Linked DNA regions of Canis lupus familiaris. The protein of the gene in region 4 binds, or shares a complex with, the protein of the main gene of each other region. Links are inferred from orthologs where the notes say so. Each region holds a gene or a part of one and is shown on either strand. Other genes may lie near its edges.

Evidence for each region.
Region 1: the proteins of PARP1 (region 4) and HPF1 are in contact, whole or in part, in a crystal structure (PDB 6M3I), measured with the Homo sapiens proteins. The link is inferred for Canis lupus familiaris from reciprocal best matches to the Homo sapiens genes PARP1 and HPF1. Residues at the interface, in NP_001609.2 of Homo sapiens: Thr825, His826, Asn827, Ala828, Arg865, Met890, Lys903, Asn906, Tyr907, His909, Ser911, Gln912, Gly913, His934, Lys953, Ser983, Leu984, Leu985, Tyr986, Glu988, Thr1011, Ser1012, Leu1013, Trp1014; in NP_060337.2 of Homo sapiens: Asn234, Val236, Asp261, Arg264, Leu265, Phe268, Gln272, Glu273, Thr276, Phe277, Gln279, Phe280, Asn282, Asp283, Glu284, Cys285, Tyr287, Tyr304, Lys307, Val308, Gln311, Leu315, Leu319.
Region 2: the proteins of PARP1 (region 4) and TIMELESS are in contact, whole or in part, in a crystal structure (PDB 4XHU), measured with the Homo sapiens proteins. The link is inferred for Canis lupus familiaris from reciprocal best matches to the Homo sapiens genes PARP1 and TIMELESS. Residues at the interface, in NP_001609.2 of Homo sapiens: Gln846, Lys849, Pro850, Phe851, Leu854, Arg878, Ile879, Ala880, Pro882, Asn928, Lys940, Lys943, Gly944, His946, Tyr992, Asp993, Ile994, Ala995, Gln996; in NP_003911.2 of Homo sapiens: Asp1036, Gln1040, Pro1043, Val1045, Pro1046, Leu1047, Thr1048, Glu1049, Glu1052, Glu1053, Glu1056, Ser1074, Gly1075, Gln1076, Glu1077, Thr1078, Phe1079, Arg1081.
Region 3: the proteins of PARP1 (region 4) and SMYD2 are in contact, whole or in part, in a crystal structure (PDB 9CKC), measured with the Homo sapiens proteins. The link is inferred for Canis lupus familiaris from reciprocal best matches to the Homo sapiens genes PARP1 and SMYD2. Residues at the interface, in NP_001609.2 of Homo sapiens: Thr526, Leu527, Lys528, Gly529, Gly530, Ala531; in NP_064582.2 of Homo sapiens: Thr105, Leu108, Val179, Asn180, Cys181, Asn182, Gly183, Phe184, Thr185, Glu187, Leu191, Ser196, Ala203, Met205, Tyr240, Ile241, Asp242, Ser257, Tyr258, Asn380.

Annotation. Positions count from the first base shown.
Region 1 is NC_049246.1:20,716,239-20,722,972, reverse strand, and holds the end of HPF1 (histone PARylation factor 1), read left to right. Parts: intron 1-335; coding exon 336-423; intron 424-1,559; coding exon 1,560-1,732; intron 1,733-4,347; coding exon 4,348-4,479; 3' UTR 4,480-4,601; downstream 4,602-6,734. UniProt on the Homo sapiens protein: Cofactor for serine ADP-ribosylation that confers serine specificity on PARP1 and PARP2 and plays a key role in DNA damage response.
Region 2 is NC_049231.1:1,032,092-1,039,696, reverse strand, and holds part of TIMELESS (protein timeless homolog), read left to right. Parts: coding exon 1-1; intron 2-130; coding exon 131-284; intron 285-404; coding exon 405-519; intron 520-615; coding exon 616-678; intron 679-1,167; coding exon 1,168-1,269; intron 1,270-1,478; coding exon 1,479-1,634; intron 1,635-1,879; coding exon 1,880-2,013; intron 2,014-2,307; coding exon 2,308-2,395; intron 2,396-2,826; coding exon 2,827-3,003; intron 3,004-3,615; coding exon 3,616-3,833; intron 3,834-4,068; coding exon 4,069-4,172; intron 4,173-4,297; coding exon 4,298-4,467; intron 4,468-7,379; coding exon 7,380-7,514; intron 7,515-7,605. UniProt on the Homo sapiens protein: Plays an important role in the control of DNA replication, maintenance of replication fork stability, maintenance of genome stability throughout normal DNA replication, DNA repair and in the regulation of the circadian clock.
Region 3 is NC_049228.1:12,140,544-12,148,716, forward strand, and holds the start of SMYD2 (N-lysine methyltransferase SMYD2), read left to right. Parts: upstream 1-3,248; 5' UTR 3,249-3,364; coding exon 3,365-3,537; intron 3,538-8,173. UniProt on the Homo sapiens protein: Protein-lysine N-methyltransferase that methylates both histones and non-histone proteins, including p53/TP53 and RB1. Specifically trimethylates histone H3 'Lys-4' (H3K4me3) in vivo. The activity requires interaction with HSP90alpha.
Region 4 is NC_049228.1:38,454,956-38,462,560, forward strand, and holds part of PARP1 (poly [ADP-ribose] polymerase 1), read left to right. Parts: intron 1-2,993; coding exon 2,994-3,159; intron 3,160-7,605. UniProt on the Homo sapiens protein: Poly-ADP-ribosyltransferase that mediates poly-ADP-ribosylation of proteins and plays a key role in DNA repair.

The DNA.
Region 1 (6,734 bases), on a different chromosome or scaffold from region 4:
AGAACTTCTTTTGAATAATTTGTCCTTTATTACTTAAGAAAGAGTGAAAGAAGCCACAGAGTGGGGTCATGTGAGTGAAATAGATTTTAAGATCTAGAGATTTAAGTGAGAAGACTTTAAAACAAAGAGCTGATTTTGGGCTTTTAGCTAACTTTGAAGAAATAGTATTAAACTTTGTGGGTTCCAGATTAAATGAAAAGTCATTAAATGTTACATTTTGACAGAAGTATTGCAAGTTTGTGTGCATATATTTTGGAGAGTTTGTTGTTTTTATCTACCATGTCTATTTTGTTTACCAATAGTTATATATATATATTTATTTTTTTTTAATTTAGGTCGTGACAAAGACCTTTCATGGTGCAGGCTTGGTTGTTCCAGTAGATAAAAATGATGTTGGGTACAGAGAACTCCCTGAAACAGATGGTAATGTATTTCTTATGTGAACATGTGTGGAAGGTCTTCTTTGTATGTATTGAGAAAATAAGTATGCCTTTTGTGGGATAGTCACTAGACTTTAGGGATAAAGAGCAAGCTCAAGTTTTAGGGTCAGTCAGGCCGTACTTTTACTATTGGATTATTCTCATGGAAATAGCTTGTCAAAAAAGAAGTCTAGAGATACTGTTCAATATCTTTATATGCATCCTGAGATCTGATGTACACTGGCATCCAGAAAGTAGTGGGGGAAAAAATACCAAAAGCCAAAACAAAAATATTAAGCCACTGGCTTTTTAAATCTAGATAAATGCTGAAAGTTTTCTATTTGTTCTTACCTCAATTGTACTTTTACTGTGACCACATTTTGGTAAAGATTTAATTTGGCGGGATCCCTGGGTGGTGCAGGGGTTTGGCGCCTGCCTTTGGCCCAGGGCGCGATCCTGGAGACCCGGGATCGAATCCCACATCGGGCTCCCGGTGCATGGAGCCTGCCTCTCCCTCTGCCTGTGTCTGCCTCTCTCTCTCTCTCTGACTATCATAAATAAATAAAAAATTTAAAAAAAAAATTTAAGATTTAATTTGGCAATGATCTCTTATTTCTTATATTGTCTTTTTCTCTGTGTTTTTAGTACAACAGGTAGGACAGGGCAATAAAGAGAAAACTTTATGGCCTGTTTTGGAGGGTTTGTTTGTTTTAATCCAACTCCTAATATGGACTAGCCCAGAGATGGACTACAAATGATCTCTGTTGCCGTATTTTTTGTTCTTTTCCAACCAGTTAAAATGGAAAAACATTCTGTGAGTTCAGTTAAAAACAGGGTGGGTCAGATTTGGCCACAGTTTGTTGATCTATGGACTAGCCTACTAAAAACCTTTAAAAAGCTTATGTATAATCGTGATTGCAACTATATCTATAGTAAAATAGTCACCGTTTGCTAATACACAAATCTTTTTTGTTAAGCCATTTTTCTTAAATTATAAATTGCCATTTTAAATTCTAGTACCACCCAAGGTGGCATTTGTTGCAATAGTTACAAAAATTGATGAGGAAAAACCCAACTTAGAATCTTTTTATCTTTGATGATGGGTGTAGATCATCTTTTTATATCCTTGGTTTCTTACAGCCAACCTCAAGAGAATTTGCAAGACCATCGTTGAGGCACCTAGTGATGAGGACAGACTAAAAGCTTTTGCTCCCATCCAGGAAATGATGACTTTTGTGCAGTTCGCTAATGATGAATGTGACTATGGTATGGGGCTTGAGCTAGGAATGGATCTCTTTTGTTACGGCTCACACGTGAGTAAGAAAAAAACAACAAACAAACAACTTCCCAGCCATCACCAGACCTTCTCTTCCCTACTTCACCCCACATACAGGCATACCAGAATATGAATATTTATGCCCTCAATAGCAGGGGTAGGATATAAATTCAGCTTGTGTGTTCAATGAATTTTTTTTCCCCAAATGAACTTTTTGATAAGCAGATGTCTGAAAATATTTGAAATTAACTTTGTATTCTGCCAAAGGTAAATAACCAAGATTATTTGCCTGCCTTCAGGTTTACATTAAAGTGAATTTCTTATTAGATGTATTATAGGAATATATATGCCCCTTTAGTTGGATGTGTGTATGGGTATGCACATAAAACTTTCATAGGGCTCCATTTGGCTTTCCGCTGTGGTGGTGGGGGGTATTTGTTCTATTGTTTGAATTCCTAGATGAAAAATAAATACTACCTAGTAGTCCCCACCTCCTTCAGCCCCCTACCCCGCCTTATCCATGGTTTCACTTCCTGTGGTTTCAGTTAACTGTGGTCAACTGTGGACCAGAATTAGATGATCCTCCTTCTGAGATACTGTCAGAAGAGCAGTATAGTGACCTAACGTTGTATCACAATGCCTATGTCATTCACCTCCATCATACTATGTAGGCATTTTATCATGTCACACTGTTATATGAAGGGTTAGTACAATATTTTGAAAGCCACTACATTCATGTAGAACACTTATAACAATATACTGTAATAGAAGCTATCTTATGTTCTCACTAATCTCTTATTTTGCTTAATTTATAAATTAAACTTTATCATACATATGTATAGGAAAACAGCATAAATAGGGTACTGTCCATGGTTTTAGGAATCCACTCGGGGTTTTGAAGCCTATCCCTTGTGAATAGGTGGGAGCTACTATATCTTAAAATAGGCTTTAATTGAAATTATTTAAAATATAGTTTTTCAGGATGTCTGGGTGGAGTTGAGCGTCTGCCTTCGATTCAGGGCATGATCCTGGAGTCCTGGGATCAAGTCCCACATTGGGCTCCTTGCATGGAGCCTGCTTCTCCCTCTGCCTGTGCCTCTGCCTCTCTCTCTCTCTCTCTCTCATGAATAAATAAAATTTTTTAAAAAATAAAATAAAATATAGTTTTTGTTTTTAATCATCATGACCTTTGCTTATTAAATAGGAAAAACCTACCTAACAGTTAAATCAGTGCTTATTCACTGTGGTTGCCTCAAGGTGTAGAGTCTATAACATGTTCCTAAGGCTACATTGTTTGGTTTTAAATAACATCTTTCCCACTTAGTAGCTGTGTAAGATTGGGCCGTTTTTCCAACACCATTGTACCTGGGTCCTTTAGCTGAGATGTCTGCGTGTGTGTGTGGACATGCGTACGCACGCACACACACAGTTTCTCATTTAACCTATGGGTCACCTACGAGGCACAAGAGGTAAACCATCTTGCTCAGGTTCACAGGCAGACAGTTCCAGAGTTAGTGTCTAAATCAGTAATTCCCAAACTGTAAACTATATAAAGATCTGAAGATAATGTTAAAATGCAGACTGCTTCAGTGCATCTGGGGTGAGGCTTGAGACTGCATTTGTTGTACTCCTGGGTACTGGTAATGCTACTGCCTGTAGACTAGTGTGAGCAGCAAGACTAAAGCAGGTGCTAACTTCAGCATGTATCACAATCATGTGGATGGCTATTCAAACAGATTGGTGTACTTACCCCTACTGCCCCCCCACCAAGGTTTGAGTTCTTGGGGGACTCTTAGGAATTTGGATTTCTGACCTGTTACCAGGTCAGGCTAATTAGAGCAGGCTATTTTGAGAACTCTGCTGTAGACCATATTACAATATTTTTCTGCCTGCCTTATATATGGCTATTAGAAAAAATAGTCAAAATGTTTAACAGCTAGAATAAGTCATTGACCAATCAGAATAATGCTGGGCCTGCCAAAAACTGAATCAGTTTAATTGAAAATAATTGGCCTGAGTACTAAACAACATATGAAAAGACTTAGCACAGTACTGAGCATCTAGTAAGTGCTAAATGTCATCAACAGAAGCGTTCCCAGGTTCTCTTTAAGTATATATAAAAATAGCAGTAGTCTAAGTCACTTGATAAAACCAAGGCAGTGACAAGGGATGGAGCTGGGTTACATGGTGGGTTGGGGAGCAGAAAATTTGAAGATAAAAGGGAATAAATGTGACTTGATAACTCAAATTCCGCATACCTCTTCATATAGTATCAACTAAGGAAAATGATGATTAAAATCTTAACTGGGGATAACACTAGAGAAGAAAAAAAGCATTTGAGCATATAGTTTACCTTAAGATGCCCTTAAGGTAAAAATGATGATCCTTATCCAAGAGAATTAAGGAAGCTTAAAATTTTAACTTATAACTTAGTTTTCTTCAGAATTTTCTTCAAGATGTACCATTAAGTCTTTTAAAACTACAAGTTTGGCCTCTTGAACAGAATGTGTCAATTCACTTCCTAACCAATTGAGAAAGTAGCTAAAATGATTTGGACAGTGCTTTGTTAACAGCTTTTTCTGTGTATTTTTTGCTACTTACTAGGGCATCTGCTATGTTCTCTGCTTAATGTTACATTCTTTTATTTTTCAGTATTTTCATAAAGTTGCTGGCCAGCTTTTACCTCTTGCATATAATCTTTTGAAGAGGAATCTCTTTGCAGAAATTATTGAAGAACATTTGGCAAACAGAAGTAAAGAGAACATAGACCAACTCGCAGCCTGAGAGTCGGCTTCCTTTCAGTGTACAGTACTTTAAAGCATTAGTATTAAACTTGTGATTTTTTTTGTTTTGTTTTTAAGGAATACAGAAAATAAATTGATGGAAACCTATACCAAAAACTTTTATAAAGCTCTTCTAGCCCATCTCTTTCATGTGCAGATAAATGGCAGTCAGTCCTCTGAATGGAGATGTTCTAATCCCATCTGAAAGACAACCAAAGTCTCCTCCGACATGTCACAGGAAGTCATGGTCTCCTGCCCGTGGATAACTAGACTGTTCTCTCATCAGGGAATCCTGTTTCAGTATTTAACATATGGGCAACTAAATATTTATTTCTCAGACTTGAGTTAATAATAGCTATAGCTTGGGACACCTGGGTGGCTCAGAGTTTGAACGTCTGCCTCCATTTGGCATTGAGTCCCACATCAGGCTCCCCACCGCAAGGAGCCTGCTTCTCCCTCTGCCTGTGTGTGTCATGAATAAATAAAAACCTTTAAAAAAAAAAAAAGCTATAGCTTTAGAGACTGGATTTATAGGCAGTGGGGAAGGCATACGGGAAGTAAATGGGAGGTGCCTGACCCCAGAGGTGCCAAAGCTGCATTTTAACAGCATCTCCAGGTGATACGTATGTAGTTCAGGTATCCATTAGGTATATTCTTTAAAACAGTTCCTTGACTCACTACATTTACTAATCAATATAGATGAGACTATTGATAGTATAGTGTACTCTACTATACCATTAGTTTAGATATTAAAGTTTTCTGCAAATTATATCATTGGATTTCTAGCACAAGTCCATGATTACAACTGTGTTTTACCAGATTCACATCCTCCTCAAGCCTGACAAAACGTCCTTCATCTTAAAAATAGCAAAAACAAAACAAAAAAAAACCCAAATGTAAAATAGCCAACTCTGTGGATTGGGCTGAAGAGCATATAAAGTTATTTTCCTTTGTATGAAGTTCAAGACAAAAAAAAAAAAGCCCTAGGTCATCTCGTAAACCCCACATTTTGCAGAAGATTGACCTGAGTTACCCAAAGAACTTCTGTTGAATTGTCAGTCTCCAGAGTCACTTATCCTGTCAGCTGTCTCCTTAAAATAGTATGAGATTTTTTTTTTTTTTTTTTTAGTTTTATTTATTCATGAGAGACCCAGAGAGAGAAAGGCAGAGACACAGGCAGAGGGAGGAGCAGGCTCCATTCAGGGAGCCCCATGTGGGACTCAATCCCGGGACTCCAGGATCACTCCCTGGGCTGAAGGCAGGTGCTAAATCGCTGAGCCACCCAGGGGTCCTGAGATACTCTTTTTGATATAAAGTATGAGTAGACTATCGGCAAACACTTCCAGCCAGGATCTTTAATTTGAGCAGCTTGTCTCATCTCCCTAGTTAAGCTGCAAGCTTTTTAAGATGATGAATTTTTTCAGTATACATATCCCCCTCAGTAACACCTTTTACTATTTGTCGAACAAAATGACCCTATTACATGCTGCTCACTAACTGCCATAGAAAATCACACCAGCGATTTGGGAAACTTTTGAGATGTCCTTAAGGTAAGAATTCTCAAACAATAGAATGTCTTCTGGGGTCTAATATCCCCCAGGCTATACCTAGAATGTGTTCGTCCCACGGCCCATGCTGGCCTTTCTCTTGAAGAAAGCCTAAAGATGGCTTTCTTCAGTCCACACACAGTCTGCTGAATATCTTCTATCTACTTCTATCTACCCAGGATGTGGCCATCCGATGGCTAGAGTAGCTTCCAAACACCACTTCTATACTTATGAGAACACATTCTAAGGGCCTAGACTCACAAGTGAAGTGTACCTTAACCCGGTAAGAATTGAACAATACCACTACCCTCCTCAAATTTAGCTAAGCTCATTCCTGGAGCTTAATAACGGAGTTTCTGTAGGACTTCTCAGACACGTATGTAGAAAGATACACCCTAAAGATGGCTTTCTTCAAGAGAGACACTATGTAACAGCTTAGCCAAACTAAACCAAACCATCCTTTTGCCTTCCCTTTCATTACTGAACTGGAACTTGCATAGTGATAGGGAGGTCTCAGGAGATTTTCAGGAATTGCCCCATTTCAGGCTGTAAGCATCAGCAGGTTCTGGCCGCATCTGAACTAAGCTGTAAGCTTACAGTGACAGTGATACTGGCTGCATCACACAATTCTTTGATTAGAAATGGTGACCAAATCACATTTGATCTTAAATTTTTGAAGCTGAGCTTTTTTCCTCAGATTTCCTTAGTT
Region 2 (7,605 bases), on a different chromosome or scaffold from region 4:
GGTGAGTACCTTTTTAAGGAAACAGGGAAAAAAGTCTCTAGAATTTCTCAAGTCATGGGTATGAATAGCCTGTGGGCCGGAGTGGAGCTCCTTCCAGGGCTCCTTGTAAGCGTTTATTCTGTCCCTGAAGAGAGCGTGAAGGATTTGATCCGCTACTTGAGGCATGAGGATGACACTCGTGATGTGCGGCAGCAGCTGGGGGCAGCCCAGATCCTGCAGAGCGACCTTCTGCCCATCCTTACCCAACACCGCCAGGACAAGCCTCTTTTTGATGCTGTTATCAGGTTGGTTCCCCAGCTTTTTAACTTTTACCATGCACCAACCCTTGGTGTTTGAGCTGATAGATTTTGGCGTTTGACCCTGGTAACACTGAATAACTTCTCCCTCCTTCATTGTCTCCCCAGGCTGATGGTGAACTTGACACAACCAGCCTTGCTTTGTTTCGGCAGTGTGCCCAAGGAGCCTAGCTTACGGCACCATTTTCTGCAGGTGTTAGCTTACTTGCAGGCCTACAAAGAGGTGAGTTTCTCTTTCAGGGTCCCTGGGGCCGAAGCTGGGGGCAGTAGGGATGGAGAGGGTGGGTGCCACTTAAGGATCCATTCCCCTCTGTTATAGGCCTTTGCCAGTGAGAAGGCTTTTGGAGTCCTCAGTGAAACTTTGTATGAGCTGCTGCAGCTGGTGAGTGGGTGTCCACCTTCCAGGATCCCAGGGGACTGCTAGCGCCTCGCTCCTCCTTTGGGCAGGGCGCCAGGATGGTCATTGTCATGACAGTGGAGTTTGGAGATACGGTCCCAGTCCTTGCAATACAGAGTCCCATCCATTGTCTCTGGCTGCCTCAGGACTGCTTGAACTCTTTTCTTCCTACTTTTTTTTTTTTTTTTTTTAAGATTTTTATTTATTTATCCACGAAAGACACAGAGAGAGAGGCAGAGACACTGGCAGAGGGATAAGCAGACTCCCCACGGGGAGCCCAATGTGGGGCTTGATCCTGGAACCTCCAGGTCATGCCCTGAGCCAAAGGCAGATGCTCAATCACTGAGTCACCCAGGCGTCCCTCTTTTCTTCCTTCTTAATCCTGGTTCTCCTCTGGGCCTCTGTCCTCTAGCCAGAGTAGATGCCGCCTGCCTTCTGCAAGGAGTCTCTTCCTCTTACTGTCCTTCTGACTAGGGCTGGGAGGAACGGCAGGAGGAAGACAACTTGCTGATTGAACGGATCCTGCTGCTGGTCAGAAATATTCTCCATGTTCCAACCGACCTTGATCAGGAGAAGGTGAGAGGTTCTTGGGTTGTCCGCTTTCTTATGCTTGGTTAGGTTGTGCTCCACCTCCCTCTCGCCCCCCCCCCCCTTTTTTTTTTTTGCTTTTCTGCCCTCCAACAAGGAAGAGAGGGAAACTTGGTCAAGGAATGAATTGGAGAAGGTCAGGGGAGGGCAGTGGAACTGAATGACCTCTCTTCCTCCCCTCATCACTCACTGCTCAGAGGATCGACGATGATGCCAGTGTCCATGACCAGCTTCTCTGGGCAGTTCACCTCAGTGGCCTGGATGACCTGCTTCTCTTTCTGGCCAGCTCGCCTGCGGAGCAGCAGTGGAGTCTGCATGTGCTAGAGATCATCTCGCTTATGTTTCGTGACCAGGTGAGAACCTGGCTTCTTTCCCTAGGCTCTTCACCTATGAACGTCTCTGCCGTGTAGCCACAATCACTCTTAAAATAATGGCTGAATTATTTGGGGCAGGTGGGTGGCAGACAGAGTAGCCATGTCCTGAGTACGGGGCACCTCCAGCAGTCCTAGTTCCTTCATCTTTTTTGTTCCTCCTAGGACTGAACCTAGAACAAGGAATGACTGTCCTTCTGACTCTCTCCTCCTTGTTCCAAATCTAGAACCCTGAACAGCTGGCAGGAGTAGGAAAGGGACGCCTAGCGCAGGAGCGGAGCACAGATGTGGCGGAACTGGAGATGTTGCGCCAGCGAGAGATGGCGGAAAAGAAGACTCGAGCCCTTCAGCGAGGCAACAGGTACGTGACCGGGAGGTGCCCTGGCCATGTTCCCATCCCTCCAGTATGGAACCTTCCCACTGAGGACTTGGGCCAAAGGCTAGGACAGTGGTGACTGGGTAACGTTCTGTAGTCATAACACGCTGATGTGCTAATGAAAGAGAACGGAGATAAAGTTTCCAGAGATTTGAGGAATCACTCTGGGCTTTTTTTTTTTTTCTTTTTCTTTTTTTCTTTTTCTTTTTCTTTTTCTTTTCTTTTTCTTTTTCTTTTTCTTTCTTTTTCTTTTTCTTTTTCCTTTTTTTTTTACTACAGGCATTCTCGATTTGGGGGCTCCTACATTGTCCAGGGGTTGAAATCCATTGGGGAGAGGGACCTCATCTTTCACAAAGGTCTCCACAATGTGAGTATGCTTCCCACGTGGGGTGGGAGCATTGTGGAGTTGACGGTACCGGAGGAGGGTAAGCAGATGGGGCGCCTGGGTGCCTTAGTCTGTGGAGCGTGCAACTCTTGATCTCGGGGTTGCGAGTTCCAGGCCCATATTGGGTATAGAGATTACTTAAGAATAAAATCAGAAAAAAGAAAAAAAAAGAAAGGTAAGCAAGCATCTCTGGAAGTAGAGCATCTTTGTTCTGGGGCTTAGAACGTTGGAGACAATAGGAGAAATAGAGCCTCTGACATTATTGTCTTTACTTGTATCTTCACTTAGTACCAGAGGAAGTGAGCCTTCTAAGAGTTTCTTCTGAGGAAATTCTAGCACTAAGGATGTGGAAAGAGCTGCAAGGGGAGGGTGGTGGTGAGGAGTAATTCTGATCCCCTGACCCACACCCTCAGCTCCAAAACTACAGTTCAGATTTGGGGAAGCAGCCTCGCAGGGTGCCTAAACGTCGCCAAGCTGCCCGGGAGCTGTCCATTCAGCGCCGCTCTGCCCTTAATGTGAGACTGTTCCTCAGAGACTTTTGCTCTGAGTTCCTGGAGAATTGTTATAACCGGCTCATGGGCTCGGTGAAGGTGAGAGCCTGGGAAGGATGGAAGAGAGAGGTGATGGGGCCAGTGGTGGGGAAGAAGGGCAACTGGGGAGGGCTCTGGGGGGGGTTAACCCTGGAGTGTGGACTAGTAGTTGGGCAGGGTATAGGGCACCCTTGAGACATGAGGATGTTGGGAGGGGGTAGGTCACTGGGACAATTTAAAAAAGGCTTGGAGAGGGGAATCCCTGGGTGGCTCAGTGGTTTGGCACCTGCCTTTGGCCCGGAGCATGATCCCGGGATCGAACCCTTGTCAGGTTCCCTGCATGGAATGGAGCCTGCTTCTCCCTCTGCCTGTGTCTCTGCCTCTCTCTCACTCTCTCTCACTCTCTCTCTGTCTCTGTCTCTCTCTCTCTCTGTCTCATTGATAAATAAATAAAATCTTAAAAAAAAAAAAAAAAGGGGGGGGGCTTGGAGAAATTCCCCAGAGGAAGGGGAGAGACCTGGGGAGAACAAGAGAGGGCTGGAAATTCTGAATCCTAGAATATTGCTGTAATGGTGTCCAGGGTCTATCCTATCATCTATCCTATCATCATAGGACAAGGAGAAAGTTGGAAACCCTGGGGTCATGGGGTGGTCTTTTTTTTCTGGACATTAGGATTACCTGCTGCGGGAGAAGGCTCAGCAACATGATGAGACCTACTACATGTGGGCCTTGGCTTTCTTCATGGCCTTCAACCGAGCTGCCTCCTTTCGGCCAGGCCTGGTTTCTGAGACCCTCAGTGTCCGTACCTTCCACTTCATTGAGCAGAACCTCACCAATTACTATGAGATGATGCTGACTGATCGCAAGGAAGCTGCCTCCTGGGCACGTCGGTGAGTGGGACGAAAATTGGGGTCAGAGTGTGCATTTGGGCAGTCATGAGTGACTGGATTCTGGGTGGTACTTTCTTTCTTGTTTCAGGATTAAGGTGGTCAGACTGGGGAGCAAGGACCAGCTGGGTCGTTGTGTTGATGGCACTGTCTTTTTGGAAGGGGGGAGAGGGGTACTGCTTCCCTGAGCCAGTTTTCTAAATTGTCCTCCACTTTTCCTCTTTGCCTCATCTTACAGGATGCACCTGGCCCTGAAGGCCTATCAGGAGCTGCTGGCCACAGTGAATGAGATGGACATGTCCCCAGATGAGGCTGTGAGGGATAGCAGCCGCATCATCAAGAGTGAGGCCCTGGCCTGTCTCTAATCCTGGCCTTTCTCATCTCTTGACCACAATATCACTCTTTCCAGTCTCCCCTCCCCTTCCCAAAGTTTCCAGACCAGTCCTTCCATTCCTTTCTCTTCCTAGACAATATCTTCTATGTGATGGAGTACCGAGAACTGTTCCTGGCTCTCTTTCGAAAGTTTGATGAGAGATGCCAGCCGCGCTCTTTCCTTCGTGACTTGATAGAAACCACCCACCTCTTCCTCAAGATGTTGGAGCGGTTCTGTCGGAGCCGTGGGAACCTGGTGGTACAGGTACTGGGCAGCCCTGGAATGTGGGAAGAGCCGTGAGGGAAGGGTGGAGACCAAGGAACTCACCTCAACGTTTCTGCAGCTTAAGCTGACCTGTTAAAACTACTCTGAACAAAGGAAGGCAAGAGGTTTATTGGTGTTGCTGATGTGTGTCTACTGTAGTTTCCTTCTTTCATTAAATTAATCTCCAGTCTAACATAAATATCTTCATTCACTCAGGAAACATTTACAAAACATGTAGTATGTACAAAGCATATAAACTCTGGGGATTTGTTTTTTTGTTTTTTAGTATCTTCATTTTTTTTTGAGATTTTATTTATTTGGGGATCCCTGGGTGGCTCAGCAGTTTAGCACCTGCCTTCAGCCCAGGGTGTGATCCTGGAGACCCGGGATAGAGTCCCACGTCAGGCTCGCTGCATGGAGCCTACTTCTCCCTCTGCCTATGTCTCTGCGTCTCTCTCTCTCTCTCTCTCTCACTCTCTTTCTCTCTCTGTCTCATGAATAAATAAATAAAATCTTTTTTTTTTTTTTTGAAGATTTTATTTATTCATGAGAGACACAGAGAGAGAGGCAGAGACACAGGCAGAGGGAAAAGCAGGCTCCATGCAGGGAGCCCGACGTGGGACTCAATCCCAGATATCCAGGATCACACCCTGGGCTGGAGGCGGCGCTAAACCACTGAGCCACCCGGGCTGCCCAACTCTGGGGATTTGTAATTTTAGACCTTAGTAATTATGCCATCATCCTTCTTGGTTATACTTCAGTAGCATTATAGTGAACTGGCAAACACCCTAAATAAAAAGCCAGAAAGTCTGGAATCTCATCCTATATTAGTAACTGTTAGAATAACTCAAGCTGCTCATATCAGTCCCCAGATCCCTAAAGATGAGATTGTAATATGAGCCTGAAATGGCATAAAAAATAAAAAGTTGTAGACAAGGGCACCTGGCTGGCTCAGTCAGTGGAGCATGTGACTCTTGATCTCGGGATTGTGAGTTTGAGCTACACATTGGGTGTAGAGAGTACTTAAAAATAAAATCCTTTAAAAAAATAAATAAAAGTCTAAGATAAGAAAACACTGATTCAAAGAAAAACCTGCACCTCTTTGTTTATTGTAGCATTATTTGTAATAGCCACACTATGGAAGCAGCCAAAGTATCTATTGATAGATGAATGGTGTGTGTGTGTGTGTGTGTGATGGAATATTATTCAGCCATAAAAACGAATGAAATCTTGTCATTTACAACATGGTTGAAGCTAGAGATAGTAATGCCAAGCGAAATAAGTCAGCAGAGAAAGACAAATACCATATTATTTCACTCATGTGTAATTTAAGAAACAAAACAAATGAACAAAGGAAAAAGACAGACCAACAATCAGACTCTTTTTTTTTTTTTTTTTTAAAGATTTTATTTATTTATTCATGATAGTCACAGAGAGAGAGAGAGAGAGGCAGAGACACAGGCAGAGGGAGAAGCAGGCTCCATGCACCGGGAGCCCGATGTGGGATTCGATTCCGGGTCTCCAGGATCGCGCCCTGGGCCAAAGGCAGGCGCCAAACCGCTGCGCCACCCAGGGATCCCCAACAATCAGACTCTTAACTACTAAAGAACAAACTGATTGATACCAGAGGAGGGTGGTGGGAGGATGGGGATTAAAGAGTACGCTTCACAGTGATGAAAAAATAAAATGTTATTAAAAAAATAATAAATAAAAATAAAATAAAATGTTAAAGTCTAAGACAAGAAGAAAATCTCGATGAATTTGTATCCTACAGACAGAGACACTCTGCTTTGTAAAAATCTTCCTGTATTCTATATGCTGTGGCTTAAAATTTAGTGAGAACAGCAGTTAAAAGAGACAGTAGTACCAGTGAGACCTTACTAAAAGATATTTTTAATTCAAGACTATTGTTTTATCAGAAATAAGAGGTGCTGTTGTTTATTGAGTGTTGACTGTGTCAGATGCTGTGCTAATAAGGCTTTCGTGTAATCCTCACAGTAGGACTAGGACACATCACAGAGTGGAGAAGCAGCCTGTTTGAGGTCTTGCTAGTGGAAGAGTCAGTACTTAAATCCAGATCTGTTGGACTCCCAAGCTCATGCTCCTAACCTTTGATGTGTTAAATTCTGAGTTTCTTGAATAGAGCATGAACCTCAAGGGCCTCCTAGTCCATCCTATTTGTCTGTACCCATAACTGGTTCAGTCATGATTTAGGGAACAAGGGTGGGGTGTTGACTCTCATTTTCCTGCTTTTCAGGAGAAAAACAATACAGATTATGTTTACGTAGTGCTATGCATTTTACAAAGCCTTTTGTATCTTCATAACAAACCTGTTCATTCTATAATCTGCTTAAGATATCACTGCTTTTGGGAAATCTCTGACCCCCAGAAATAAGTCAAGTACTTTTCCTTTGTTCTGCTGTGGCTTTTTTTTTTTTTTTTTTTAAGATTTTATTTATTCACAAGAGACACACAGAAAGAGAGAGACATAGGCAGAGGGAGAGGGAGAAGCAGGCTCCATGCAGGGAGCCCGATGTGGGACTCGATACGGAGACTCTAGGATCATGCCCTGAACTGAAGGCAGCAGACACTCAACTCCTGAGCCACCCAGGTGTCCCTTGCCGTGGCATTTTATGCCCAGCCGTATTCTAAGTTTATCCATACTGTAATATACTTTACTTATCTACTCACCTGTCTCCTCCACTGGACTGTGTGTTCCTCAAGGGCAAGGAAATATACCACTCACTCTCACTGTTGCTTTCTTACTGCTTATGAATAGCACACAGTGTTCACTCTGTGACTATTGAATTAATTAATTCAGACCTTTAATGAATTAATTAATAGAGAAGACATTGATGGGAAAATGTCCTCTTAGCTTTCCTGCCATCATGACAATAGTTCTTTCTCTGTAGAACAAACAAAAGAAGAGAAAGAAGAAAAAGAAGGCCGTAGGTCAGCCTGTTGCTTCTGATCATGTCCCCTATAGTGCAGGTGAACTAGAGGCTGTGTGGCCGTCCCTGGCTGAGCAGCTACGATGCTGTGCCCAGGTAGGTAGTAGGAAAAACCTTACCTTTCCCATGGGTAGTGCACTAATAGGACATCTGGGTTTCCCTCCCCTGTTCCATAGCCCTAATCCTG
Region 3 (8,173 bases), about 26 Mb from region 4:
GTACTCTCTCTGAAAAGCTTTTCCAGATTAGGTCAAAACCCCTAGGCACTGGCTTAGCACTTAACACCACTGACTATATTTCTTTCATTACCTGATTAACATCATCTTCTTCCACCAGACGGTACAAAACTCTGTGAGGGCACAGAACAAGCCAGTTTCTGGTATCATTATGTCACCAGTCCTTCTCACTGCTGCTGGAACACAGTAACCATGCAATAAATATTTAAATGTTGAATGAATATGTTGTAGAATCTCATGCTAGCTCTGCCTACGCTATTTAATTTCACAGGGCCTCATCTTCCTCATTAGTAAGAAGATGCCTCTCTCATTCCCCAAATCCTAGGATATTTATGGTTCCTATCTTGATCAGGATCAAGATTGATCAGGCCAGGGATCCCTGGGTGGCGCAGCGGTTTGGCGCCTGCCTTTGGCCTAGGGCGCGATCCTGGAGACCCGGGATCGAATCCCACATCGGGCTCCCGGTGCATGGAGCCTGCTTCTCCCTCTGTCTGTGTCTCTGACTCTCTCTCTGTGACTATCATAAATAAATAAAAATTAAAAAAAAAAAAAAAGATTGATCAGGCCAGAGCCAGAAAGCCAACACCTTCTGTTGTCTGCTTGCCATTTGCCATATACCAAGCAAGAAACTGGCATTCCCCCCACACCTTTGCCCCTCTCCTTAATGCTACTGCCTTGATTCTGACTCTCCTCCTCCTTCATTTAAAATACTGCAGACGTGGGACGTCTGGGTGGCTCAGCGGTTGAGCATCTGCCTTTGGTTTAGGGCATGATCTCAGAGTTTCAGGATCGAAGTCGAGCATCGGGCTCCCTGCATGAAGCCTCCTTCTCTCTCTGCCTGTGTCTCTGTCTCTCTCTGTGTGTCTCCCATGAATAAAAAATAAAAAAATACTGCAGATGCTCTCTTAAGTGGTGGGCCTGTGTTCAGGCCTCTCCTCTCACAGTTTATCTGCAAAGCTGCCAGTAGAACTCAGTCTAAACGCTGGATTGATCACAGCACCCCTGCTGCTTCAACGTTTTCCAGTGGTTGCCATACCACATTTGCCACAAAGCTCACCTCTCCAGACCATATCCTTCCCTTGTTCCTGCCTCACCTCCTACTTTCTTGAGAACTCTGCTCTGCTCCGAATCACTCATAGGGCATCCCCACACACTCAGTTCTTTTAAGTCCCTCTTTGTGTGCAGTTCTCTCTGCCCAGGAAACTCTTTTCTACTCCTTTCCTGGGCAAGTTTCACCCATCCTTTTAGGCTCAAATGTTCCTTGAATGTGGCACAGGCCCTGGCCATTCTTCAGGCTGAGTTTGTCACTCATTGCCTGTATTCTCAGAATACTTTGCACAAGCCACCTCTCAAGGAGTAAGGGCACTCCTCAGGGAGCTGTGTTTATATGCAGAGGGACATCCGGGTTAAGATCGTGGATATTCCACTCAGATGGACTTGAATTTGAAACCAAATTCTGCAACTTACTGAGGCCTTGTAAGGGATTCTGAGTCTTAGTTTCTGAATTTTGGAAAAGGGGGGACTTAATGTCAATTCACTGAGCTGCTGCAGTTACAGAATACATGAGACACTGTGCTTGGTGTGCTTTGCACAATTGGCCCATTGTACTAACCGATGGTAATTATCATTGGCTTGTGAATGCGTCAAATGCAAAGACTCAGGCCTACATTTTGTCCCATCTTTTTATCCCAGCGACTGGCACATAGTGGCTGAACTCAGTGACTGCTTCTTCAAAACCATAAATGAAATAGTATCCATGCTATATTTTTCTTGACAGGAATAAGCTACAGGCTTTTTCATTTTAGGGATTGTATCGAGGAGTCAAAAAATTCTACTCTTCTTACGACATATCCTCCAAACTGTATTCATCTTTCCCTTTGCTAAACTAGTCCTGAATTTACACCTGTAACCTAATTTGAGATCAAACTTGGGTTTTTAGTTATTAAGTGTTGTCTGCTAAAGTCTCCCTTCACATTTTTAAAAGTTTCTCCTGCACACATGTCAGCTCCAGTCCTTAACTGCCATCCTTTGTAGCAACACAGATATCACACCCTACTTTCTCAGAGGAGTGACACCAACAGCATGCATGTGTATGGGCTTCAGGGCTTAAGTATTCTAGGAGCTACACATGTTCCTTCCAAATCCTGGGTGACTTGCAACCAAATGAGCTTTCCTGAGATGACAGGGAGGGGTCCAAGGGATCAAGACCACTGCAAATTCCAGCCCAGGGTTCTGGCTGCACAATGGCACTTGGGACCCTGGAAGGGTTTAAGTTCTTTGAAGGCCAGATTATCTCCCGTTTTCTCGGGGAAGAGGAAGTTTCTTGAAAGCAGAGACTCAGTGCTCCAGGCTGACCTGACTTTTCCTCTTCTGTCCATGTAATTAATTTCCACGAGAGGGGCAAAGGTTCCCATCTGAATACTCCGGAGAAAAAAAAAAAAAATGAATACTCCGGAGACTCCTGCAAGGTCTGCAGCCTCAGGAGGCTTCCAAGCCTTTGACCTTTGGAAGGCGCCCTTGAACCCTCAGCGCATCCCACACTGTGCGGCCTCTCCTGGGCGCCCCAGGGTGACCCCGTCTAGGGCCTCGGCCTCTCCCGGGCGCCCCGGGGGGACCCCATGTAGGGTCTCAGGTGCTCCAGGGTGACCCCGCCTAGGGCCTCGGCCTCTCCCGGGCGCCCCGGGGGTACCCCGTGTAGGGTCTCGGGCGCCCCAGGGTGACCCCGTCTAGGGTCTCGGCCTCTCCCGGGCGCCCCGGGGGGACCCCGTGTAGGGTCTCGGGCGCCCCAGGGTGACCCCGTCTAGGGTCTCGGCCTCTCCCGGGCGCCCGGGGGGACCCCATGTAGGGTCTTGGGCGCCCCAGGGTGACCCCGTCTAGGGCCTCGGCCTCTCGGGGGGACCCCGTGTAGGGCCTCGGGCGAGGGCAGGGCACACAAGGTGCAGACACAGCTCCGTCCGCTGCGCGGGGCCCAGGCGGCCCGTCTGCCCCGCCCCCCCCAGGCCGTGCATCCCCCGCCGCCCACGCACGGACCAGGGGCCGCGTCCGCCCTCCCGCGGGGACGCCCCAAGCGCCCGGGGCGGGCGGCCGAGGGGCGGGGGGCGGGGCCGCGGGCGGGTTCCCCTCCCCTCCCCTCCCCTCCCCTCCCCTCCTCCTCCTCCCTCCCCTCCCCCCCGCCCCCGGGGGCGCGCGAGGGCCGGGCGGGGCCGGCGTCCCTTCCGGGGAGCGGCGGCCTCCCTCCCCGCGGCTCTGGGTGACGCTTCTCCAATAACAGCTCGCGGGGCGCCTCGGCTCGGGGCGCCGGTCCCGCCGGTCCCGCCGGTCCCGCCGGTCCCGCCCCGCTGCCGGCATGAGGGCGGCGGGCGACGGCGGCCTGGAGCGCTTCTGCAGCCCGGGCAAGGGCCGGGGGCTGCGGGCCCTGCAGCCCTTCCACGTGGGGGACCTGCTCTTCTCCTGCCCGGCCTACGCCTACGTGCTCACGGTCAACGAGCGGGGCAACCACTGCGAGTACTGCTTCGCCAGGTAGGGCGGGGGCGGCGGGGGCGGCGGGGGCGGCGGGCGGGGGCGGGGGCGGGGGCGGGGGCGGGGCGGGGCGCGCGGGCGGGGGCGGGGCGGGCGGGCGCCGCGGCGGGGGAAGTGCGCGGCGCGCGGGGTCCTAGCGCCGGCCGCTCGGGCGGAGGCCGCCCCCGGGCGGGCGGGAGGCGCGCTGTGCCCCCGCGCGAGCCGCGCCACGTGCGTGGGGACAGAGCCGCCGAGGGCCCGCCGCGCGGCCTGCGCTCTCCCACTTGCTTGCGCCGGATGGGCTCACGCGGGAGCGCAGGGTCCTGGCCTCAGACGTGGGCGCCGAGCCAGGCGCGTCCCGGGCGCGAGCGCGCGCTGCCCGCTTGGAGCATCGGCGGCCCGGCCCAGGCCCAGGTTGGAGCAGCCGCAGCCTGCAGCCCTCCACCTGGGCCTCCTGCGGCGTGTTCCGTCCTGCACCCCCCACCACCCCCACCGCAGCCCGGCCCACCCCAGCTCACCCCAGCCCACCCCAGCTCACCCCAGCTCACCCCAGCCCACCCCCAGCTCAGCCCACCCCCCAGCCCCAGCCCGGCCCGGCCCGGCCACCTCCTGGGAACTTCTTGACAGTTAACATTTCGTGTAAAGTACTCGGCTCCTCCTCTTCCTTCTCACTCTGCGCTGCTGTTTGGAGAGAAGCCGGAGGGGTACGGACCGCGCACCCCGGGGTTCTGAAGGGCTGCGGTGAGGGCGGACGCACCTGACCTCGCTTTGGGATTCTTCTTTTGAAAACGTGGCCTCCGGGGCAATTAGGCAAAATGTGTGGTCGGAAATGGTATTTAATAGTAGCGTGTCGTGTATAAAAATATACATACGTATACTCACATAGGTCTCTGTTCATAGGCACCCACACATAATTATATCCTCAAGCTGTATGATGGTTTCAGACCCCAAAGGCACATTCCCGAGTCCCGACACACTTCTCTCCATTTTACGGGCCCAGATAGGAAGTGTGGTTGTGTATCTGTATCCTCACACCAATGGTTAAGGGAATGGAGTCTGTTCTCTCCAGTTCTGCCCATGTCCTGCTGGTTTGGGTGCCCAGGAAACTTCCAGAGACACGAAGCATGGCGTTGAATTAGGTTTGTACCCAACCTACCGCTGCTCTCTGAAGAGTGGACCGTGCTTTACTTTCTTTGAATCTCAGTTTCTTCATCTTGGAAATGGAGCTTCTTGGGTCAGATTACACTGACCTGAGGTCCCGCAGGGACCCTTTGAGGACAGGTCTCAAGTCCACCATACACCAAAGGACCCAGTTTCCCAGACACGTGTGCCTTATTCTATGATAAGACATAGCGAAAGAAGGGACAAAGGCTAAATATTATAGTAATCTTGCCCAGACTCCCTGCCAGAACTGTCTTCCGCTTGGGGGGACCTGGAAAGGCACTAGACGCAGAATCATGCCGTGGGCAGCTTAAGGGCTGTATGTGATGTGGCTCTTTGAATTGGTGAGTCAAGAGCTAAAGGGTCATGGCACCACTTTGCAACGTTTGAGTGAAGTGAGCATTGGGTTTTCCCAAAGTTAAAAAGGCTGCTGTGACTGGTCCCTTGATCTTCTGAGCCTCGCTGTGGCTCGGAGTCTGAAGCAGTGTGGGTGTCTGGAGTGGCAGGAGCAAAGCGGGGTCACCCAGCACGGAAGGTGCTCCCCTCCATCGGGAATCCTGGTGATTCCTGGAGTCCATCCTGTGAGAGAAGATCACAGCGCCAGGCACATAGTAGGTACTCAGATGGCAGTTCCCAGTGCGCTCCTGCAGTGAATTAGAGATCAAATCCCTCTGGGTTCAGAGGGGAGAAGCGGAGCTGAGAGATGCTTCTCTTTAGCAGTGAGCGTCCTGACTGTATCTACTGTACACGCCCCCAACCTTACAACTTCAGTGTATGGTCAGATTCCGCTCCACAAATCACCCTGCCCTATGGGACAGGGTGTGCTTTGTTTTTCCTTTTTCTCAATAACTTTTGTTATTGTAGCTGACTGTTGTCTTAGACCCGACACCAGGGCTGCCACGTGCGTTGGGGCGGTACCACTGCATCTGTCCCCATCCACGCCACTTTTTTCTGTTTGGCTTGGGTGAACTTCTCTTAAGACCCACGGTTCATTTCTTCTCTCTCCCCAAGGAGTCATTTGAAATCAGCTAAAATAACACACCAGAAATAATGACACCATGATACCTATGAAACTGGAAATATCCTTGTACACCACTCTATGATTTCTGTTAAATTCGATTAGTTTAGGATTCGCGGTTAGGTTGTTCTCATAGATGTAGCACCATTTTCTCTGTCAACTATTTGATTATGTCTAAGAACAAACCAGTCTGTCCAGCTGCATTAGAACACATATATGTCTCCTGGACCTTCAAGGGAGTAGGAGGAGAATTCTCAAATATTAAAGCATAGAGGGTAAAATCTGCTACTTCCCTACCCCCCTGCCCTTCTCCCACAGGGGGAAAAAAAAACCCAAACTATTTCTTATCCTTTCTTGTGCTTGAAGTTTATCATAAAACAATATTGCTTAAGATAAGTGAGCCACTGGAGGGTCTCATTGTCATAGTAATTGTATCTGGGTTTAACTTATTTTGAAGGGAAATAGGTGATTTCTGCAGTAATAAGTTTATTCTATAAATTGAAAAAGCGAAGTTTCTCAGGTCACAGTGGAATGGGAATTCTTATCGTTGACACAATTCAGACAAAAGTTTGTTTCTGGGGATTTTAAATTTGTACACATTTTCTCAGTTTGGATATCTCCCAATATCCTTAGGAGGATATTTATGTTGCCTCAGCTTCTAGAAGGCAACTCCTAAAAATATAAATGTTTTCCAATTGGGAGCTGTCCCTGTCACACCTCTTAGATACATTTTGTGTACACACACACATACACACATGCGCACAAACACACACACTTACTTTTTGGCCATTAGCCACCTTTCTGTGGCAGATACTTCTATGTTATATTTCATACTTAGTACTCAGCATATTTTAACACTTTGTTATTGGCCTCAAAAAAGGAAAAATCTGCTGTAACCCAGCGTTCCATCTGAATATTCATTCTGTGTGCAGTTCCTCAGGTGGGAAGATGTCTCCTCTTGATGTTTTATTTTCTTGGTCGTGGGTCATTTAAAGGCCAGAATATTGCCTTTTTTGTTGGTTCATTCCGAGTATGGGGGAAGAGTACGAAGGCCCGCTTAGCCTCCTTGCAAAAGAGCTGTTAGAACCCAATTTCAGGAAATTTATGTCATGCCTGGCTCAGAGTGGTTTTATTTATTTATTTATTTATTTATTTATTTATTTCAGAGTGGTTTTAAAAATTAAAATGCTTGCATGAGCAAAACAGTATGGTCGAGATGTCCTGTTTCAGCAGTTGTAAAGATGTCTCACAGATTTACTCTGTAGTACTATCCATCCTGTCTAACCCATTGTTTTACCAGACTGTCAAAGTAATATTTAGTTGATTTTAATTAATATTAAGAGCCATGAACTCTTGGCTCCTAAGAGTCATGAATTGTTTTCTCAAGAAGCCTTAAGGTTCTCCGAAAGAACCCTCGGGCTGACCACCTGAAACTGCCCCTCAGAGCAGGGGAGTCATCCCCAAGGGCTGGTGTGATTCTGTTTATTCCCAGAACATTCTCTGAGAATTGTTGAGTCTCTAAGGGGAAGAATGACTTCAGACGTTCTCAAATTATCTTGCTTTCTGAATGAAAAATTAGACACATGCTCTAACAGTGCTCCTTTTCACAAGTATTTTTTCTTAAAAATGGGCAGTAAGATTACAATGTACAGACAACAGATTTTCTCTAAAAAGTGATATTAAATAAAACAAAATTCAGCTGTCAATACATCAGGTAATGAGATTATATTGTCACTTTCAATATTAGAATATTTCAAGTTTTCATTTATTCAGAGAGGGCAAAGCAGAGACTCTGGTGCCAGATTGACTTGGTTTGAGTTCTGGCTTCCTTCCTTCCTGATGTTTTGTCTTTAAGCAAAATTACTTAATGTCTTTGAACAACTGGGTTCCTTTATGTTTACATTGTTCACATGAATACCTGCCTCCAGAGCTTTGAATTACAAGGCATTAGAAGTCAAGCACTTAGTAAGGCCCTAAACATAGAGTAAGCTGTCACAGTCCGCCTGGCAGTCTGGCTTGTACTAAATGTTACAGAGGGTGATAAAATATTGCAGTGTCAGGGACATTTTTATCATGGTGGGGTTGGGGTCAAGAGTTCATGGCTCTTAATATTAATTAAAATCAACTAAATATTACTTTGACAGTCTGGTAAAACAATGGGTTAGACAGGATGAATAGTACTACAGAGTAAATGGTGGCGTTGGGGGGTAGGTACTAGGAAGGAAATACTGGAAATTGTTGATCAGTAGAGTCATCCTTCAGATGGCACATTTACTCAGAGCTAAAAGCAGCAGTTCTCAGCCCCCAGGTCCCCCAGAATATTGACGGATTTCACTGTTTTTTAAAACCTAATGGAAATGATATAATGAACCTACATAAGTAAACTTTTTTTTTTTTTTTTTTAAAGCTTTTCTGGCTCCAAAGTGCTTAGAAGCATTAATAGTCTTTTGCCTGGAGACTAAGCAAATATTTGAGAAA
Region 4 (7,605 bases):
GAGACCCAGGCAGAGGGAGAAGCAGGCTCCATGCAGGGAGCCCGAAGTGGGACTCAATCCTGAGACTCCAGGATAACACCCTGGGCCAAAGGCAGGTGCCCAACCACTGAGCACCCAGGCGTCCTAGTCACTAATCTCTAATCTCTAAATAAACTTCATTACTTTCTCCAGTTATGAATGTGAAGGCAGAAAAGCAAAAGCAGTACCTATGGTTTTTGTCACCAGTGGAAATTACAGATATTTTCATATCACTGTACGTTTGTTGGGGATATCTCAAAACATCCATTACATTCATCATCATTCAAAGTTGCTGTAGTTGCTACAGTGGGCACTAAATCTTGTTATTTTATGCTTTAGAGCTCACCATTACCATATTTTTAAACATTTTGATAATTCAGTCTAACTGCTTTCTTCTGTGAGCCTGTGTATTGTATTACTCGTTTTTAAATTTTATTTGGAGAAAGACGTATCCTTAGGCTTCACTAATCATCCAGAGAGGACCTTCCCTGATCAGGAAGGACAGACAAAACCATAGTAGAGCCAGTATATCGAATACATAGGGCTGGCCTGGTGTTCCCAGATCGTGAAATAAATGAGTTAAAGTGGTTTTCTGTAACTGTATTTGGGGGTGGAGTTTTAATTCAGAATGTAAAATCTGGTCTTTGTAGGCAGAGCTGGAGGCCTGAAAGAAAGAAGCCATTCTTCTCCCTCGGGGTTCTAATACCTTCTTTTACATTTGTATGGGCGGATTGTTCTCCAAGTGTCAGATACCTGATACTTTAGGTGGTGTGCCCGGGGGCAGCCTCCAGGGGACTAACCAGGCCTTGTAGCTTCTTGACCCTTGGACCCTGGGTTCTTTTGTGTTGGGCGGGCTTGCTGTGGGGTCACACACACTGTTAATGGTCATTCCGTGCTCTCGGTGGATAGGTGGGCAGTGGGATGGCCTGTTCTATGCCGAAGGAAATAGTGGCTGGGCGAGGACCTGGTGTGTGTTTGCTGGGTACACAGAAATTCTTCTGCTTACGGTTGCCAAGTGGAAGCGTAGCCTTATGACCTTGTTCTGGTTTCCTTCCTGCCATATCCTTGTGAATCCTACATTCTAGGGTAAGGCCTTGCTTTGATCAGGGGTCCTTGCTCTCAAGTCCCTCAAGCTGCATGCCCTTGGGCTGCACCTCTTGGTTGCCCCACGCTGCACTGATAGTTGGGACACAGCACCCACACCAGAGGTTAGGGGGCAGGTGCAGGGACCCCACCAGAGCCAGGAAACCATGCAACAGCCACAAGGTCCAGTGTGTTCCCTCCCTTTGTGCGAATGTGACCTGAGCGCCGCAGAGGAGGGGCAGACGAGGGACACGGAGGCAAAAGGAGCCCAAGTGCCAGTCTCTGCAGATGTACAGCAAGGTGGAATACGCTTCGCCTGCCTTGTTGGAAGTTTGAGAGCTGAAATGCAAGTCCATTCTGAAATGCCTTTTTGGGGGGTGGGGGCACCATCTTTTGTTCTGTTGGGAGGGCATCTTTTCCAGAGCAGGACTTCCCCCATCCTTTCCCTTTCTTATCTCCAAACTTGGGGTGTTCCACACTCTCTCTGTGTCCTCTATGAGTAGGCATTGCATGATGGTACCAAGGTGGGCATTGTTGCCCTTCCGGGAGCTTCCAGCCTAGTGCAGGACATGGACATTGAATAATGGCCCAAATGGATCCTTCTTAGCAAGGAGGAGCTTGTAAGGAACCTTCTGGGGAGATGGGAAGGTGCCACTTGCTCTGAATAGGGCAGTGGAGCATTCAGGGCCCAGGGAAGAGCTATTGTGCTGTAAACCAGGCTGCTTGATGCTAGGGAGTCCTTGAAGTACCCTGGCCTGAACCCTCCCTCTGCATGTATTATACTGATTAAGAGGCCACTCCCAGCAGGAGGGGGCTTGGTGGGAGAACTCATCACTGTTTTTCCAGAATATTTCCCCTGTCAGACTGTTCCATCCAAAAATTTGTGGTATTTATTTTTGATGCTGTTTTAATGCTTTTATTCCATCTGTGTGGCATTTAGCTTTATTTTCTATAAAGGCAGATATTTGGAGCCTCTTCTGCCTTGATCAGAACCGTTTGTGTAAAAAAAAAAAAAAAAAGTTTGTGTGTTTCGGTAGCTCTTCCTGCCGAGCAGAGTAGTGGACTAAAACTTGGTGTCGGTGCAGTCAGGCTGAGTCACTTGCCGCAGACATCTGTGGACGGGGATGCTGGTTGCCACCCAGAGGTAGTTGAAGGTTACGTGTGATGGCTTGCGAAGAGGGCCAGGGACCAAGTAAGTGCCAGCATTAGCCCCACTGTGCCTGGTCACCACCACTGTGCCTTCTCTGAAGCCAGAGGTGCTAGGGGCCCAGGAGACCAAAGGTGACACCACACAGGGAGAAGAGCCTGGTGCTGTGGAGTCAGCAGCCTGTTGAGTATGAAGCATCAAAGGAAAGAGGAAGTCCACCATGAGAGGGGAAGCACCTTTCCCCCCTGGCCAGACTTCCCAGAGGCCAGTGAGGGAGCTGATAGTCTGGCTCCAGGCCCTGGGGACTTCTGTCATCTGCTCCCCAGACCGCCAGCTTGACACTGTTTCCTGACACAGTTTCTCTGCCTTGCTCATTATTTGGGACTTGTTCCTCATTATTTTAACTGCAGACGCACTAAGGGAACCCTTTCTGGGCCACACAGGCCCCACAGGGGCAGCAGCGGGGGTCCTGTGTGCATTCCAGGATGCTGGGAGGGAAGTCATGTCACTGAAGCGTGAAGCCTGTGGTTAGAAGGCCTCTGGGGCTAGGTTCTGTTTAGAAGCTCCCCTGTTCCCATCTGTGTCCCATGTCCTGAGAACAGACTCCCACCTTCAGCAGACAGCTGTTGGGGAAGATCTTGAGAACTGTGGACTGGGATGCATTTTCTCACATGACACGGGACAGGGCCAGCTGCCAAGGGCTGGGCTTGAGGCTGCTCACTCATCTCCCTCTGTTCTCTCCTAGTCACCCATGTTCGATGGAAAAGTCCCACACTGGTACCACTTTTCCTGCTTCTGGAAGGTCGGCCACTCCATCCGGCACCCTGACGTGGAGGTGGACGGGTTCTCTGAACTCAGGTGGGATGACCAGCAGAAAGTCAAAAAGACTGCGGAGGCTGGAGGCGTGACAGGTGTGTATGGACCTGGGGGCAGCAGGTGCAGACCCCCAGTCCCACCTGGGCAGCTTCCCTGGGGACCTCTTCTGGGGGGTGGGGAGCCCTTCAGCTTTGTTACCTGTGATTTCGGCAGCACCTCCTTGGCTTGCCTATGGTAGGCTGTTTTTGTTTTTCAACGAGTTTTCCCATTTACCTCCTGCCGCCACACAGGCAGGGCCTCTCCCTCTGTCTCCCTCCACAGCGGTACATGTGTTCAAGTGGACCCTTCATTATCACCCCAGGTCCAAGGTTTAAGGATTCACGTGTGGTAGTGTACATTGTATGGGTTTGGACAATACACAATTGACCTTTGAACAACATGGGTTTGAACTGGTCTGCTTCTGTCTAATCTTCAGTAAATTCAACACTACTATAAATGTGTTTACTTAATAACATTTTCTTTTTTGAGGTTTACCTTATTGGGAGTTCAATATTTAATACTTATAACAAAGGATGTGTTAACTGTTGGTTATCAGTAGGGCTTCCCGTGAACAGTAGGCTGTTAGTAGTTAAGTTTCAGGGGTATTGTGGGGCACCTGGGAGGCTCACTCAGTGAAGCATCTGCCTTCAGGTCATGATCCCAGGTCCTGGGATCAAGTTCCACATCAGGCTCCCTGCTCAGTGGGGAGTCTGCTTCTCCCTCTGCCATTCCTCCTGCTCACACTCCTCCTGCTCACACTCGCTTGCTTTCTATCAAATAAATAAAATCTTTTAAAAAAAAAAAAGGTTTCAGGGGACTCAAGTGACCCATAGGTTTTCAGTGCACGAGGAAGGTCAACATCCCAACTCCCACTTTGTTCAAGTGTCATCTGTATTTGGAGTCATTCGTATGTAGTCTCTTCAGATTGGCTTCTCTACTTAATAATTAACAGGCATTTCAGGTTCCTCTGTGTCTCTTCGGGGCTTGATGGCTCCGTTCCCTTTAACCCTGAATAACATTCCATTGTCTGGATGGACCACGGTCTGTTCGTTAGGAAGGATATCTTGGTTGCTTCCAAGATTCAGTAAATGCAAATAAAAGTGCTGTGAACATCCGTGTGTAAATTTTTGTGCAGACTTAGGTGCACATCCATGTGTAAATTTTGTGCAGACTTTCATTTGGATAGAAAGCAAAGAGCATGACTGCTCATCCTCTGGGGAAGCGTAGGCTTCATTTTGTAAGAAACCCCGCAAACCAGGGGCAGCCCCGGTGGTGCAGCGGTTTGGCGCCGCCTGCAGCCCAGGGCGTGATCCTGGAGACCCTGGATTGAGTCCCATATCGGGCTCTCTGCATGGAGCCTGCTTCTCCCTCTGCCTGTGTCTCTGTCTCTATGAATAAATAAATAAAATCTTAAAAAAAAAAAAAAAGAAAGAAAAGAAACCCGCAAACCAGCTCTCTAAGCAGCTGTACCAGTTTGCATTTCCATCACTCCCTCACTAGCACTTGGTATGTCTGGGTTCAGGATTTTAACCATTCTGATGGGTGTGTACAGGTGTCTTGAGTTGGTTTGCAGTCCCCTAATACCCTACAATGTGGAGCATCTTTTCGTGTGCTTATTGCCATCTGCATCTCTATTTGGGAAAGAGTCTGGATATTTTGCCATTCATCTTTCATGTTCTTTCCTTGAGTTTTAGAGTTGTTCATGTATTTTGGATAGTGGTCTTTTGTCTTTTGCAGATGTCTTTTTCATGTCTGGTTTGTTTCTTCTCCCATTTTCTTGACAGCGTCTGTTACAGAAGTTCTCAGTTGTAAGTTGTAAGATAAGTTCCAGCTTATCCATTATTTTTTTCCTGGCCTGTGTCTTTACTGTTGTATCTAAGAGTCCTCACCACACCTAGGTCAGCTAGATTTTCTCCTGTGTCACATTCTGGGAGTTTTACATTATGGTGTTTTCCTTTAAGATCCTGATTCGTTTTAAGTTTTGTAAAGTAGATAAAGTCTTAGTCTAGATTTATTGTGTATATGCATATGTCCAGTGCCAGTACCACCTGTTGGAAATTCTGTCTTTCCTCCATCGTGTTGCATTTGTTCCTTTGTCAGATGTCAATGACTGTGTTGGTGTGGGTATATTTGTGGGGTCTTTTTATCAGTTTGTCTATTCTGCCAGTACCATACCGTCGTGATGACTAGTTTCATGGTGAATCTTAAAGCCAGATGGTGTTAGTCCTCTGACTTTGTTTTTCTTTTTCAAACCTGTGTTGGCTGTTCTGAGTCTTTTGCCTTCATATGAACTTGAGTCGGGGCGCTGGGAGCTGGGAGGTCAATGACATGGCTCACTGTGAATAAAAACAGCAAATTCGCTAAGAAAGGGTCCAGAGAGTGAGCCTGTCCATTTTAGCAGAGGGCAGGTGTAACAAATTTTTCTTATTCTGTGGTCGTTTTTCCCTTTTGTGTTCAGGTTAGTGGGGGTTGTCTTAGGACTATGTCCCATCTAGTTATAATTTATGTGTATCAAATTATGTAATTTTATAATAGGAAAGGCACAGTAAGTTTGCTATAAACTATTTTGTTTCTGAAAACCTCAGAAATCAAAGTTAAGATAACACCTGTTAATTGTCCAGTGATTTTTGTATTCAAAGAGCCTAATTTAATCACAGAGACACACAAGAAGTTTCCATCTTCCTAGATCCTGTAATTCCAACTATCTTTGGCGTTGTGGGGTGTCTCCCTATTTGAAATTTTCTATTCCAGTATTGATTCACATGTGTGTCACTTTTTCTTCCTGTAGAAATGGGATTCTGCCTAAGTGTTATTTTGTTAAAATGCTTCTTGTGTGTGGTGAAATACACATACCATGAAATCCACTATCTTAGCCAAGTTTAAGTGTGGGCTTCATCACCATGAAGCACATTCACACTGTTCGACCATCACCCCACCCACCTCCACCTCCAGAGTGTTCTCATCTTCCCAACCTGAAACTCAGAGCCCAATTCACAGTAAACGGCCCCCCTCCCCAATTTCGTGTCCCCCTGCTACGATTTCTGTCTGTGAATGGGACTCTGGGTGCCTCTGTGAGTGGAATCATACAGGGTTTGTCCTTCTAGGATGAGCTTATCTCACTCGACATCTGTCCTCAGCTCTGTCCGTGGTATAGTGCTGTGGCCGCTATCAGATTGCATATACCTGCAACATGGATACATCACTTTTTTTAAGATTTTATTTTTTTATTTGAGAGCACGTGCGCACACAACCGGGGGGAGAGGGAGGAGGAGAAGCAGACTTCCCACTGAGCAGGGAGCCTGAAGGGGGCCTGGATCTCAGAAATCCTAGATCATGACATGAGCCAAAGGCAGATGCTTAATTGACTGTGCCACCCAGGTGCCCCACATTTTGTTTATCTGTTCACTCATTGAGGGGTATTTGGATGGTTTCTGCCCTTGGGCAATTACAAATAACATTGTTGTGGACATTATGGTGGCATACCCAGTCCAGACCCCACTTTCTGTTCTCTTAGGTCCATATGTGGGAAGGGGAATGGCTGAATCAGAGAGTAATTCTGTGTTTTATGTTCCGTGTACCTGCCATAGTGTTTTCTGCAAGGGCTGCACGATTTTTCATCCCCTCCAGAAATACACAGTTTTCCAATTCCCCTGCATCCTTGCCAGTGCTTTATGGTCTGAGGGTGGGTGGGTGGGTGTGTTGTCTCTGTTCTTGTTTTTATAATACCCAGCCTAAGGTGTGAAGTGTTCATGTGGTGTGTGTGTGTGTTTTAAGATTTTATTCATTCATGAGAGACAGAGGCAGAGACAGGCAGAGGGAGAAGCAGGCTCCATACAGGGAGGCAGGGAGCCCGATGCGGAACTGGATCACAGGACCCCAGGATCATGGCCTGAGCCAAAGGCACATGCTCTACTGTGGAGCCACCCAGGCGTCCCTTTCATGTGGTTTTGATTTGCATTTTCCTATGATGTTGATCTATATGTTACATTTTACAGTTTAATATTTACTTTTTTTTTTTTTTTTAAGATTTATTTGTTTATTTTAGAAAGAGTGTGTGATCCGGCGAGAGGCAGAAAAAGGGAGAGGGAGTCTCAAGCAGACTTCCCACTGAGTGCAGAGCCCAACCCAGGGCTTGATCTCACAACCATGACCCAAAATCAAGAGTCGGCTACTCAACCGACTGAGCTGCCCAGGCACCCCTAATATTTACTCTTTTCGTGTTAAAAAGTTGTAAGTTTCCATCCTTGTGTTTTACGGTTATGTAGTAGTCATTTATCGAGGTTTTGCTACATTTTGTGCTTCATTCATGACCCTTGACATGAATGCCCTCTCGCCCCTGTGCAGTAGCCCAGATCCAGTGCAGATGCCGAGAGGTGAGCTCACTGGGCTAGGACAATGCCAAGGGCCCATGAGCCAGGATTCGGCTCCAGACTGCCTGTCCTTGGAGGCTACACTGTCACCTGTTTTTGCAACATAGCAGATTGAGCTGCTGCAAACTTCCT